Linked DNA regions of Caenorhabditis elegans. The protein of the gene in region 3 purifies or fractionates together with the protein of the main gene of each other region. This does not show direct contact. Each region holds a gene or a part of one and is shown on either strand. Other genes may lie near its edges.

Region 1 (3,222 bases), on a different chromosome or scaffold from region 3:
AGAGCACAAATGCCGATGCAAGTTCAAGGAGAAAGTAGTAACCAGCTTCTGACTGTAAATTATTTTATTTTTTGAAGCAAAATAGTGAGTTATTTTTTTGGATTAAAAATCTTGTTTTTAAATCGAAAATCAATACAATTAAAAAAAATCAAACCTTTGAAACCTCCTTTTTCTCAGCTGACATTTTGGTAGCAAACTCAGTGAAATCTATGTGGAATACTGCAGGGATATGTTCGTTTCGTTTCACAGAGAAGAGGCGCATCGAACAATTTGGGGCATCTTGATGAGATTTTATCGAATTCTCGGAGGTGTGTAGTAGGTTTTATGGATTTCAGAGTGGATTTCAGAGTGAAGTCATTGAACTTTCTGGGAAACATCTGGGAAACAATATCCGACAAAAGCTCAAAAACGCATAGAAGATTTAGTTTTAATTTGATTGATCCCAATTAGTTCACTTTATGTATTTTTTCACACAGAAAAATACAATTTTCGCTCATTTTTTTGTGAAAAAAATACAAATTTCTATTCAATAATCATATTGTTCAATATATGTTCTATATATGTTCTATAATTTTTCCTTTCGCCAGCTCACTTTCCAGAGAAGCTCTCGATCCGCCCTCGATCCGCCCCTAAACCTGCCCAGCGGAGTAGCATATGAGACTTATGCCGTTTGATGAACCATGTTTAGAAACGGTTATCCGTAAACTTTTAGCTGCAAGTCTCCATAATCAAGCTCACGACATGCTCTTAAAGACATCTAAAACAACACTGTAACGTAGCACTTAGGGATCAATATTCACTTCGGAAACTCATGTCTCCGCGGATTTTGATGGAAAAGTTATCAACTTTACACGTTTGGAGTTGAAAGTTTTTTATCAAAAAAATCTTTGTTTGAGATTAAAGCATGTGAAGTGCGGTAAATGTTATTGTTAAATATGTTAATGCTGTTGATGCAATTTTTATGCTTATATCTGGAAAATTTTGAAAATTGACCCATTACAAAGGAAGTAGATGAAATTAATCTCAGACTTTGACATGACATGGTATTTTTCCGATCAAATAGTATTATCCATACCAAAATCAGAGATTGAGTTCGTCTACTTCCCTTGTTAGTGTTTGCAGTTACATTGTTGTTTTCGCTTTCTTTGAGCGTACGCCGTGAACTTGGTTCTGAAGATTCGCCGCTAAAAATTTTCAAATCACCGTTTCTAAACATGGTCTATCGACTGACATAAGTCTCTTATGCTATTCCTCTGAGCACCTTCACATGTTCCCCTCGTCAGTGGTGTACAAACGCGCTCCACTGCTAATGCATTTGATTCTCAGCGCGCGCAACCAAATTTGTTTTTCGCGCGCTCTCCTCCTAATTTAGGCCTTTTTTCTTGGCAGTGTATCGATTTTGTTCGTTCGTTGAGCGTTGCGCGTTCATTGTCATTATAGAATCGTATATAAAGCGAATAGAATCAGTCTATTCGCTTGGAATTTTTAACATAGCCTTCCAAAATTTGCTGCACCATCGTTTCATTGATTTTATCCGTGTTTCTTGAGTCATTCGTGCGTGATGTAAGAAACTGGACTCTAAATGGACTAAGCATTTTTATACTGATTGTGACCGTCTAAATAGCTTTTTTTATTCGACTTGTTTCCAATTCGGAAAGAAACTCCATTTTCTGTTCGATTTTTTAATTTTCTCTCTTGTCTCTTACATCTCAACTTTATTTTAATGCCTCTACCTTCAGACTACATCCTCAATCATGCCGTCTATGGCCGAAATCTACGTCAAAGAGCTCAGAGAGAGGGATCCAGCTACTGTCGATACTCTATTCCTCGACAACGCTGAAGATGGACAAATCGGAGGACTCACCGACCAGCTTATCAACTTGGAGATGCTCAGCATGGTGAAGTGCGGACTCACCACACTCGCCGGGTTCCCAACTCTTCCAGCTCTTACCTATTTGGATATCAGTGACAATCAGCTTGGAGACAACGCTTCGTTTGATGTTCTTGTGAAAAATGCTCCAGATCTTAAGAAGATCACACTCGCCAGCAACAAGCTCTCTTTGGATAATCTCCGGTGCTTAAAGGTTCTTCCAAATCTTTTCGAGCTCGACTTGTCGAATAATCCAAGTCTCGGACTCCTCGAGGACTATCGTGAGAAGATGTTCGAGATGATTCCATCGCTGAAGATTCTTGATGGATGCGATGTTGATGGAGAGGAAGTTGAGGAGGAGTTTGCCGGTGAGGGAGGAGAAGACAGCGAGGAGGGAAGCGGCGATGAAGATGGACCCGGACTCAGCTATCTCGAGAAGAGCCAGTTCTCCGACGACGAGACTGACGATTATGCTCCAGAGGTTAGTTTTCGGACTCATATTTCAGAAACGTATGTTCTTAATTTCAATTTTTCAGGGAGGAGACGCTGAACCACGTGGGACAAAACGTGGAGCTTCTGATAACGGAGAAGAGCCAGACAACAAGAAGGCAGCTGGCGACGACGAGTAAACTTCGACGCCTACGGACTCATCATCTCAACCTAATATATTTATTTCAAATATTTTTTCCAAAAAAACTTCCCTCATTTTCTTTATGGCTGCGCTGTACACTAAACCCCAACTTTAATGATCTGAAAAACTGAACCCAAACCACCAGACACTGCAACAACTTTTTGATGAATAAAAAATCTTTAACATTAATCTATCGTTTTATTTTCTTTTGTGGCTTTTGTGTGCATTCTATACCATATTATATTACTGAAACACTGAATTCTGAGAATGCGTATTGCGCAACATATGTATATCTTGCAGCGAAAACTACAGTAATTCTTTAAATAACTACTGTAGCGCTGATCAGATTTTACGTTGTTTATTTTCTAATTTTTTGATGAAAACTATAAAAAAGGCATCGAATTGACAAAAAACACGAAAAATTAGAGGAAAATTAAACATCGCCTGCCACAATCCTAAAAACAATTTGTTTCGAAAGTATCAGCTACAGTAGTCATTTAAAGAATTATTGTAGTTTTCACTACGAGATATTTTACGCGTCATATATGTTGCGCAATACGCTATTAATACGGATTCTCAGAATTTATTGTTCCCGTAATAGTTCTGCCTGTGTGTAGCGCAAACTTCAAAAGTCAATAAACTCGAAATTTGAAAAATTGCCAAAAACGAGACTCCGAAATAACGGGCGCGCGTGTTGTTTAGCGCTTTCAGTCCACATTAC
Region 2 (7,135 bases), about 12 Mb from region 3:
AATGAGTTTTGAAACAGAAAAATTCGCTTTTTAGGTTAAAAATGTCCATTTTTCAGATAATGTTTCTCCAAAAATAAGAATTTGCCGGTTTCCAGAAAAATTTTCGTCACGAACCAGTACCATTTTTACTGAAATTTAGGCGATTTTAGCGGATTTTTAGTGAAGAAAACGTGAATTTTGAGATTTCAGAGACTGAAAATCGTGGAAATTTGGTCAAAAACTGATTGTTTTTGAAATTTTTAATGTTTTTTGAGATTGAAAAGAGCAAAATTTGGATTTTCTGTGCAAAAACGGCAAATTTTCAGCTTTTGCACATAATTTTTTGCCGTTAACCGGATTGAAATGAGTTTTGAAACAGAAAAATTCGCGTTTTCGGTTTGAAAAAGTCAATTTTTCCGATTTTTTTCCCTGAAATGAGAATTTGCCAGTTTCCAGCAAATTTTTACAAAAAAAAAAAATAAAATTCAGGCTTAAAAACCAATGAAAAGCTCAAATTTCAAAGCAAAAAAAAAAATCAAAAAAATTATTTTTTTTTTGGAATAAAAACGACGGATATATAAAAAAGTTTAACAATGATGGGAATAATTGGAACAAAAAAAATAACGAAAAACAATGTAAAAACAACAAAAAAGGGGCAAAAAATAGAATAAAATCAACGAAAAATTGGTGAATTTCAGGCGAATTTGGATATTTTTCGTCGAAAAATTAAAAAAAAAAGCCAAATTTTGAGGAAAATGAGCCTATTGTTGCTTGGCCAACATCTTCTTTCGACGATTTTTCACCGATTTTGCTCCGGTACGGGCGGCCGCACGTTTTGGCACTTTTGACTTGAATTGGGTCGGTTTTTTGGCGCGTTTCACGTTTCCAACCTGCAAAAAATAATATTTTTATATGGAAATTTGGCATTTTTTAAAGCTTTTCAGTGAGAAAATGGCTCGAATTTAGGATTTTAAAAGTAAAATCTACGAATTTTTGGGTTTTTTCGGCTGAAAAAAGCCTCAAAAACTGATTTTTCTGAAATCTAGTCCGTACCGTATTGAAACCGTCATCCTCCTTGACAGCGGCCTGCTTCTCGGCTGCCTTCTTCTGATTACGACGCTTCTTGTTCGCACGAGCTCCGGAGCCAATGTTTTTCACTGAAAAATGGAGGATTTTGATGGTTTTTAAGTAAGAAAATTGCTATTTTTTCCATTTTTTCCAGTAAAAACATTGGAAAATATAATTTTGAGTTATTTTTAGCTTCTGATTTAAAATATTAGCAATTTCTGGTAAATTTTCTTCAGTTTTTCATAATTTTGGCTCAAAAAAAGCAGATTTTCAGCTAATTTCCTCAAATTTCTACGCACTTGGAGCATTATTATCATCATCCGAGTCATCACCATCGGCTTTTTGCTTCTTTTGCTGCTGCTTTTTCGCTGGCTTCTTCTGTCCATTAACCTCTACACCATTCTTCTTCTCCTCTTCATCATCTGAAGACTCAGAAGCCTCAGCTTCAGCCTTATTCTTCTTGTTCTGCGATTTTTGGGCGGCCTTTTCCTTTTCTTTCTGAAAAACTGACATAAATTAGGGGCTAATATCTTGGAAATTTCACGAAAACACAGAATTTTGTCGAAGCTCCGTGATTTAAGAAGATTCTTACATCAAAATAATTCATTTTCTGATAAAATTTGTTAAAATTCAGGATTTAATTAATTTTTAGTGATTTTTCCACACGAAAATTGTAAATTTTTCAGCTTTTCTAATGTAAAAAGGTTAAATTTTCGATAGTTTCGATGAAAAAAAAAAACGCAGAAAAATTGAGTTTAGGGCTGAGAAATGGGACATTTTAACAGTAAATTCATGAAAATTGAGCGATTTTGATCAAAAATTGGAGAAAAAGTGGTAATTTTACATCAAAATCGTGAAATTTGACGATTTTGAGACAAAAATAGTGGAAAATAAGCTATTTTCGATTAGGAATTCTGGAAAATGGGCAATTTTGAGTTGAAATTTGTAAAAATTGAGAAATTTTAAGCTTAAATTAGTCTTGCGGACCAAATTTCATCAAAACCACTTTGGTCTGCTAAATCGAAATTTGTAGTTTGTAGTCTAGCAGACCAAAAACTTTGGGTCTGCTAAACCAAAACTTGTAGTTTGTAGTCTAGCAGACCAAAAACTTTGGGTCTGCTAAACCAAAACTTGTAGTTTGTAGTCTAGCAGACCAATTTTTGGTAGTTTTTTCGGGATTTTCTTCATTTTTAATGGATTTTCCGTCAATTTTTCCAATTTTCTCCGCATTTTTTTACCTCCATGACACCCTGCTTGCTCATTTTCGCATTAGACAACTTCTTGATCTTTGCCACGTAGAATCCATCAATATTATGAACATGTGGATAATAGCGTTTAGTCATTGAAAGTGACGGATGGAAACGATAATCACGGAATCGTGTATATCCATCCACACCAATCGATAATCCAGTTGGAACAAGTTCACAGTGACGACGTTCCAGAAGGAAATTGACGACGGCTTCGTTTTCCTCGACGAGTACAGAGCACGTGGAGTACACGAGATATCCTGGAAAATTAGATTTAAAATTGGAAAAACGGGGGTTTTCAATATTTTCGGAGCAAAATTATGCTCTTTGAGAGCGATTTTTCAGTTTTTAAAATATAAATCACAAAAACATTGAAAAATTCGATAAGTTTAGTGCAAAAATCAAGAAATGTTCGATTTCAACGTTATTTCGCTATTCCAGAGCCGATTTTTATAGTTTTTGTTCTGTAGATTTTCCCGCAATTTTATCATTTTCAGGAGAAATTGCACATTGAAATAGTTTTTAGTGCAAAAATTGAGAATTTCTCGGTTTCTAGAGAAAAAATGTGGCTTTTAGAAAAACAATTTCAATCTTGGACGCTTTTTCGCTATTCTGGGTCCTATTTTCGTGATTTTTGCAAATTTCCGCACCTCCATTCGGAGAATTAGCGTCCAACGAGTCCAAAGCAGAGAGAATCAGCTGTCTTTGCATAGTATGACGTCTCTGAACATCCTGTGAATCTTTGGATGTTTTAACCGATTGATCCTTCCAAATAACTCCAGTTCCAGAGCATGGTGCATCCAAAAGAATACGATCAAAACCATTCGGACGGATTTTCGAGAACTCTTCTCCTCCCAGATTACAAACGACGGTATTGTTGACTCCGAGGCGATGGAGATTTCCAATGATAGCACGGCAACGGGTGAACTGGAAAAATAAAGTTTTCGGGAGATTTTTGATGAAAAATCAATTTTTTTCGGATGAAAATTGAATTTTTAGGAATTTCCCAATGAAAACCAGGCAACTTTTGATAGTTTTTCGTTCGAAAATGTCAAATTTTCTACTTTTTAGATTGAAAATTGTAATATTTCAGCCTTATCTATTTTCATCAATTTTTCACGTACATTCGCGTCGTTAGCGAACAAAACTCCGCTATTCTTCATAAGAGCAGCAATATGACTGGTTTTTCCTCCAGGAGCAGAACACATATCCAATACACGATCTCCTGGTTGTGGAGCCAAGGCCATCACTGGCAGCAGTGAATTGAGTCCTTGAATCATATAATGTCCGGCCAAGTATTCGGGAGTTGCTCCAACTGGGACCTGAGAATCATAGACAACGAGTCCAACTTTAGTCCAATCGGCGGCTGGATCCACGTTCATTCCACGGTTGATGAGGTTCTTAGCGAGGTCACGACTGAAAAATGGAAATTGTTAGCTTAAAAATATGAAAATTGAGCGATTTTGACAACAAATTGGTGAAAAACGAGTAATTTTTAGTTCAAAAGTAATAAAAAAGACCAGTTTTTAGTCCAAATGAGTAGAAATTAAACGATTTTAAATAATACAATAGTGAAAACTGGCGATTTTGGGACCAAAATTATGGAAAATGAGCTGTTTTAGATCAGAACTAAAGACAGTGGGCAATTTTGAGTTGAAATTCGTGAAAAATCAGCACTTTTAAGTCTAAATTAGTCTAACAGACCGAATTTCAGACCCAATCTATTCAAAATCACGTGGGTCTGCTAAATCGGAATTTGTAGTTTGTAGTCTAGCAGACCCAATCTATTCACAATCACGTGGGTCTGCTAAATCGAAATTTGTAGTTTGTAGTCTAGCAGACCCAATTTATTCAAAATCACTTGGGTCTGCTAAATCGAAATTTGTAGTTTGTAGTCTAGCAGACCCAATCTGATCAATACTATTTTTCAAGATGAGGACATGGAAATTTTATCACTTTCCAGTTGAAAATCGCGGAAAATAATTTTTAGCTGAAAATCTTCAAAATTGAATAGCTTTGCATTATTTTTTATGTCCAAAACTTCAATTTTATGTGACTATTTATGCCGAGAAATCCAAAAACCTCCAAATTTTACCGTTTAACCTTGAGCGAGTTGGCTCTAATGGTTACTGGTCTCGGATTGTCGTTAGCCTCCAAAAACTCCAATAGCTCCGCTCCATTTGGGAATAAATCCATGAATTTTCCCATTAAATAGTCATTGTATCCATACTGTGAGCATAGATCCTTCTTCAGCACTTCTACATAGTTTTCACGCGATTTCTGTGGATCTCGGCGATTCTTGAAGTCTCCAAGAACCTGGATGACGTCGGCAATACGCTGCTTCACAATTTCCAAGTTTGGCACGGATTTCATCTCATTTTCAATCTCCTCGACGGTTGGAAGCTCGAAAGTCGCTTGATTTGCGATGTTTAGCTGCAACTCTTCCTCTCCTTCAGCGATAATCTTCTCCTTCTGCTTGTCGAGAGCCGCGGATTTTTTCTCGATTGGCAGATGATCTCCGGCGTCGGAATCTGGAAAAAAATTTTAATTTCAGGGTTTTCAGATGTTCCCCCATACCATCATCGGAATAGTCATCTCTGAGATCTTCATCGTCACTTCCTGGGAAGCTGAGACCTTCCAGGCCGTCCTCGTCATCGTCGATAAGCTGCAGCTTCTCGACCTGCTCGATTGGTTCCTCCTCATGAGCCTTTTTCGCCGATTTCTTCACCTTTTTCACTAGCTTCTTCTTCTTTGGAGTCACTGCCTCGGTTTCCTAAAAAATTGGAGCTTCGTCGTGAATGTTTAGTGCAAAAACTCACTGCAACAGGTCTTTTAACGGCTTTCTTAACTTCTGGCTTCTCTGTAGCAGCTTTTGAGGCAGCGGACACCTTCTTCTTCTTGACAATTGCCATTTTACCTGAAAAATACTTCTTAAAGTTTGAAAAAAACGCAGAAAATAGTGACAGAATGGCGAGAAAAGTGAAAACCCCAATTCCTCCGCTTGAGACTGATTTTTACAATGTTTTACTGGTTTTATGCAAGTTTTAACTTCAAAATTTAATTTTTCACATATTTTCAAAATAAAACACCACAAAAAACTGACGAAAAGCAACGGAAAAGCCGAAAAATCGATCGCCTAAATTCGAAAGAAATTGCATTGAAAATTGCACAGGCGTGCGGTAGAGCGCGCTTGCCGACGATGGCCGTGTGGGGGTTTCTAGACCGCGAACTCTGGCTGATGCCTCAAAGGCTGATGGCGGCTTCACGTCGAAGAAGGAATTGCCACTCGTCGTGACTAAAGAAGAAACAGCGCCGACAATAGCCAAAACAGATGCAGGAAATGCAGAATCCACAGTTACAGAAGTCAAAAAATATGCGTTAACAATATAACACGTATTTGGAGCTCGAACAACGCTGACATGCCAAAATGTATTGGTAGGGAAGTTTTTGAAAGAAAAAGAGTGTGAATATATGTCAATTAACTTTATGCTCGGCAATTTTGACAATTGCCAAAAATATCAGCGTTTGGCAATGTCCGTCGTTGCCAAGCGTCAAACATTTTTGCGATTCGAGAAACAACGCCCGAATAGTAAATTATTTTATTGTAATATTTCAGAGTCGAGGCATTCAAACTGGCAATTGCTTCTGTTCTAGCCTTGTTTGGATATCTAAGCCAACTCCTTCTCTGTGTTCTGGCTATTTCAGTAATTTGTACAGAGGATGCAAAGACATTGAAAGACGAATTAGTTTGGGGACTGCTTATCAAGGATTGGTTGTTCAGATTGAAAATTGTTGCTGCAGGGACAATTATTGTTACGACCATAGTGGCGGTCTTCCTGTTATCTTCGCTATACCGCCTGTATTAAAAAGAAAAAAAAGCTGAAGCTAACGCACCAATTATTAAAACAAAAGTGAGTGAAACGAGTACAATTGGAATTTATTTCTAAATTTTAAAAATCTGCAATTTTCTGCTCTATTTTTGGAAATATAATTTTTAGAGTTGCTGCTCAATTTGTGAAAAAGTTTTCGCTGGAACTCGCATTCATTCCGTGGATGTTAATTTTATTAGCTTCCGTCACGCTGATAAAAGGTAAAAATTAAAGTTAAAACTGTATTTTAAGCTATTTTGCAGGAGAACCGAAATGGGATGATTACCAGAAAAGGGTGTTCAATTTCTGCTCACTCTCAATATTCTCTTTTGTTGCGTCGACATCGTTTTTCTCGCTGAGTTAGTTTCTAGTTACTTATTTTGACCAAGAAATACAATGAGGAAAACTATTACCTATATTCCGCAGATTATAACCTTTTGACCAGTTTTGCGATGTTACTTAGGATAGCTATCTCAAAATTTTCAGAATGTCATTCTCCAAAACATTATTCAAACAGTGAATTATGGGTTCTTCTCATTTTGTGGATTGTTTGCGCGTTATTTCTATGGGCACCTTCTTTTCTCGGAATATATGTACACGTTAGTACAATCGTGTCTCGTATGTTGATATATTTTTCATGAAAAATACAACAAAATTTCTTCTTCAGCCCAACTCGCGTTTTCGTTACAATTCTCCGTTGTCCGATTCGGTTTCTTAAAAAACTCGCTCAATAAAGTAATGTAAGTCATTTTTCATTTGTAACAGTTTAAGAAATTCTTCATATTCAAAGAATATGGACTGCGAAAGCCAAACTCTTATTTTTTACATTTCAGATTGATTTCTAACGTACCATCAAATCCCACACAAAATCAGACTGCCCCACCTGCCATTGAATTGAACTAGAATTTTAAAAAGAAATGTATTTTTTGTATTGAAATGTATGTGAATAAAGTGCGTTTTCATGCTCATTCT
Region 3 (3,601 bases):
TGGGCTCCCTCCGAATTTCGGCCCGTGACGTTATAATTTCCAGAAATCCCTACCCAATATGCTTCACCGCAATGCTCACAATTCCACACTGGCGGAAGCACTTCCAAAACGCGTGTTTCACCTGGCGGCTCGTGAAGTCCGCGTGGACAAAACCGAAGACGTCTACGACTTCTGTGGAGATTTCTACTACGAAAAAGTTGGAAGCGGAGACGGATTTGTACTTCAGACAGCTTAATGAATCATGGATATGAAACTTTTTTTTATTTGAATACAATAATTTTGCTCATGCTTGTTTTATTTGTAATGTAAGTGCGCTCCATTGAACATGTGGACTTCGATATTTTTGCTCTTCAAAAAATGCGGAAGTTGAGAAGCAGACATCTCATCTGATTTTGCATGGTTAAGAGCGTGCTGACGTCACAATTTTTCTGGAAAAATATTCCCGCATTTTTTGTAGATCAAGCTGTAATGCGGCAGCCTGACACCACGTGTATTTATTAATTCTTCAAAAATACAAATGTTCCAACAAAAAAAAAATAATTCAAATCCAAGAATTCGCCAATTGCTTAAAATATAAATTAGTCTCCACATCGTTCTTCTTTTTCGCACACTCCTCAATTTCCACGACAATATGCACAGGTTTTCGTCTATTTCTGAACAACCGTACCGTCAAAAATGACTTCATAAATTGCTCTTTCCACTGCGGAATGCTCAACATTGCGGTTAAGCCAATGAGAAATGGGTTTCTAAAAATAGTAAATTAAGTTGGGGAGCTTCAAGATCACAGCTCACAAAAAGAGCACATTTTCGATGAGATGGCAATAGTAGGACGGTACAATTTTGTAGTGGAGCGCCGCGATTCCACACCCACAAATTCCGATAAAAGATAGGACGGCAAAGACCAAGCGGGTACCAAGCTGGAAATTTAGAAATTTCAAAATTTGATTGTGCAGGATGACACCCGTCAACTCACATGTAACACTCTTAGATTCTCCTTGACTTGAAACTGCTGGGAAAGTGTGAAAATTCGCTTCCTACCCGGATTCTTAATCTCCCGTCGGAACGATTCATTGACTTTTTTCACGAACACATATGCCTGAACAAGTTTCATGTTGGAAAATTTTTCTAAAATCTTGCTCACAGCCACTGAAATCGGGCAGCTTATCATCCAGGGGAAATGAGCAGAAAGTGGTCCGACCTTTTGAAACAGAAGACCAAAAGCCATGGAGATTGATAAAAATTGGCTGATAATAAGGAGAATTGCTGGCATTAGGTTTTGGGTGTTGGATTCATAGTTTCTGAAAAACTTAATGAACGTCCTCCAATGTCTCTCGACTTACTCTATTAACACTGAAGCAATCACCCGCTCTACCGCAACTGTAAGCACACCAAAAATCCAAGAATACATATAATGCCACTGCAGAAATCCACCAAAAATCAATAGTTCCAAGCCGTTCAGTGACGCCACCAATAAAACTTTTCCGGGATCATTCGTCCAGATCGCGGTGTGCTCGCCGAGCTCAAAGTCTAGGCCCAGAAGTTTCAGCCGATAGGCTATAGTGATAAACTTCCCAATGATAAGCTCATACCACATGCCAAACATGGGAAGCGCCAAAATATAGAGGTTACGGTGAAACAGACGAATTTTCAGAGCAACATGGAGGCTCACGTTTACCAGGTGAATGCAGACAAGGTAGATCATAAGTTCCAGTATTGATATGATAACTTGTTGATCTAACGGCTCAACGTAAAAGAATACTGGAAGCCATATAGATGAGAAAATGGTTGATGAATTAGAATTTATTATCATGATAAAAAGAGCTAGCTCAACACATAAGTTGTACTAAAACTGAAATCAATATAAGCAAATGTCTAAAGCACCTGTCGATCAGTTTTCGGCGCCAGGATCATGTCGCTGAATCAGAAGCAAAGTGAAGTTGTTCTTGGAAGCACCCCTTGAACTCCGCAGGTAAATCTTGCTTCGGAAAAACTTGAATTTTTCAAATTATAATAATTTGTTTCCCGTAATTTTTTTTTTCAAGAATTTCCAACTTCACCAATGTCGGCCGAATCCAATAACCTCCGTTAATTGCCCGTTTACGGCCAGTTCTTCTCCACTAAATTTTCAGACCTTGTCAGAATTCCAATTAGTATAAACTTATCTAGATTTTTGCCTTCCTTTCATGTTTTCAATTTTTAATTCTGTTTCCGTCCAAATAAACTGAATCGTTCTCAGTTGCTTCAGCGTTAAAAGCCAACTATTTCAGCTGCACATGCGTAAGCAAACCGTAACCTTAGACGAATAAGAGCAGGTGATTTATTGCATCTGAACTAAGACTTTTTCCTAATTTTTCTTCGATTTGCTCTCCTTCCGTCTGCAATGATCATCAGATACATTGCAAATTCAACAAGTTCTTCCTTATACTGGTTACCCATCTATTTCTACGATGAGCCTTTTAATCAGCAAGTGATAATCTCAATTGTTGAAATAGCTCTCTACATTTTGTGCAGCCAAGCTGTCAATGCATACGTACATGTTACGCTGAAAATTCGCCTTTTTCACAGAAACCTTTACATTTTGTCAATCCCGGTTTTCTTTCTCTGGTATGTACTAATCGCCGGTAAACTTATCATAATTGCCTATCGGCTGGACTTTCTAAAAATTGATATTCCGATTGGAGAGCACACGGACATCTGGACAGATGATATTGGAAAAATGCTCAATGTCAATAATTTGAATGGACTTGAGCTTATTCTGCTTTCAGGATTTCTTCAATGGTATTACATGTATTCCTTTATTTTTGTGGTGTTGGCAATGGTGGTGGAACGGACAATTGCTTCGGTTTTGATAGAGTAAGTAGCGGGGCGTCAGGAATTGCCAGGAACAATTTTTTGCAGTAACTATGAGTCTAACACTCGACTGTTAATTCCCGCAATTCTAGTCGTCACAAGTCAATTCCTATCGGTGTCTGTATCTTTTGCGCTACTCTTCCACAAAATTCACCCTTGCGACGCTCAACTTCCATGGATTATTAGTTGTGTCCTGTCTTTGATGGTTGGTTTTTTTAAAGAGTTTTTACAATAACTTGACATTTTCTTTTTAGGCGTGTGTCTTCCTAAAACTGTTGAACGAATCCTTCCAGCGGGAAATCAAGAACCCGGTTAGAAAACGACATTTCACAATTTCCCAGCAATTTCAAGTTAAGGAGAATTTAAGGGCAATTCGAGTAACCTATATGCTTGAGTCTAAACGATAAGAAAATAAATTTCAGCTTGGCTACCGTCTTGTGATAACTGTGCTCAGTTGCATTGCTCTCTATGGCATTGGAATCGCTGCTCTCAACTATGAAATCATTCCCCCAATTTTTTGTCATTTTGTTGAAAATCTACTATTTTTGTGAGTTTTTTTTATAATCGTTAGTTTATGAACTGAGTGTTTCCAGAAATCCGCTACCTATCGGACTGACTGCAATATTATTCGTTCCGCAGTGGAGGAAACAATTTGTAAAGTCATATTTGAGCTTCAACTGCCTGAAATTTAACCAACAAATTCTGCCTATGGAAACTGTAGAATGCCAGAGGAAGAAATTGGATATAGAAA

The links. Proteins that work in one complex are often made in the same cells at the same time.
Region 1: the proteins of sre-33 (region 3) and F33H2.3 fractionate together in Caenorhabditis elegans (co-fractionation; one large-scale study listed by BioGRID). This does not show direct contact.
Region 2: the proteins of sre-33 (region 3) and nsun-1 fractionate together in Caenorhabditis elegans (co-fractionation; one large-scale study listed by BioGRID). This does not show direct contact.

Annotation. Positions count from the first base shown.
Region 1 is NC_003279.8:15,032,778-15,035,999, forward strand, and holds F33H2.3 (Acidic leucine-rich nuclear phosphoprotein 32-related protein 1), read left to right. Parts: upstream 1-1,737; 5' UTR 1,738-1,754; coding exon 1,755-2,351; intron 2,352-2,406; coding exon 2,407-2,499; 3' UTR 2,500-2,690; downstream 2,691-3,222. Other genes in the region: F33H2.8 (TPT domain-containing protein), read right to left, coding at 1-52, 155-262.
Region 2 is NC_003280.10:470,730-477,864, forward strand, and holds nsun-1 (26S rRNA (cytosine-C(5))-methyltransferase nsun-1), read right to left. Parts: upstream 5,212-7,135; 5' UTR 5,207-5,211; coding exon 5,114-5,206; exon of another isoform or gene 5,068-5,113; coding exon 4,872-5,067; exon of another isoform or gene 4,826-4,871; coding exon 4,390-4,825; exon of another isoform or gene 3,711-4,389; coding exon 3,419-3,710; exon of another isoform or gene 3,222-3,418; coding exon 2,945-3,221; exon of another isoform or gene 2,774-2,944; intron 2,555-2,773; coding exon 2,286-2,554; intron 1,546-2,285; coding exon 1,347-1,545; intron 1,137-1,346; coding exon 1,033-1,136; intron 870-1,032; coding exon 741-869; 3' UTR 533-740; downstream 1-532. Other genes in the region: W07E6.5 (G_PROTEIN_RECEP_F2_4 domain-containing protein), read left to right, coding at 6,348-6,384, 6,427-6,522, 6,650-6,781, 6,831-6,903, 6,997-7,066. UniProt on the Caenorhabditis elegans protein: Methyltransferase which methylates the carbon-5 position of cytosine 2982 to 5-methylcytosine (m5C2982) in 26S rRNA. May play a role in the translation of leucine and proline codons.
Region 3 is NC_003280.10:12,451,634-12,455,234, reverse strand, and holds sre-33 (Serpentine receptor class epsilon-33), read right to left. Parts: upstream 1,934-3,601; 5' UTR 1,811-1,933; coding exon 1,341-1,810; intron 1,299-1,340; coding exon 1,142-1,298; intron 1,097-1,141; coding exon 974-1,096; intron 918-973; coding exon 793-917; intron 747-792; coding exon 542-746; downstream 1-541. Other genes in the region: sre-32 (Serpentine receptor class epsilon-32), read left to right, coding at 44-251; sre-35 (Serpentine Receptor, class E (Epsilon)), read left to right, coding at 2,381-2,853, 2,899-3,055, 3,105-3,227, 3,273-3,397, 3,444-3,601.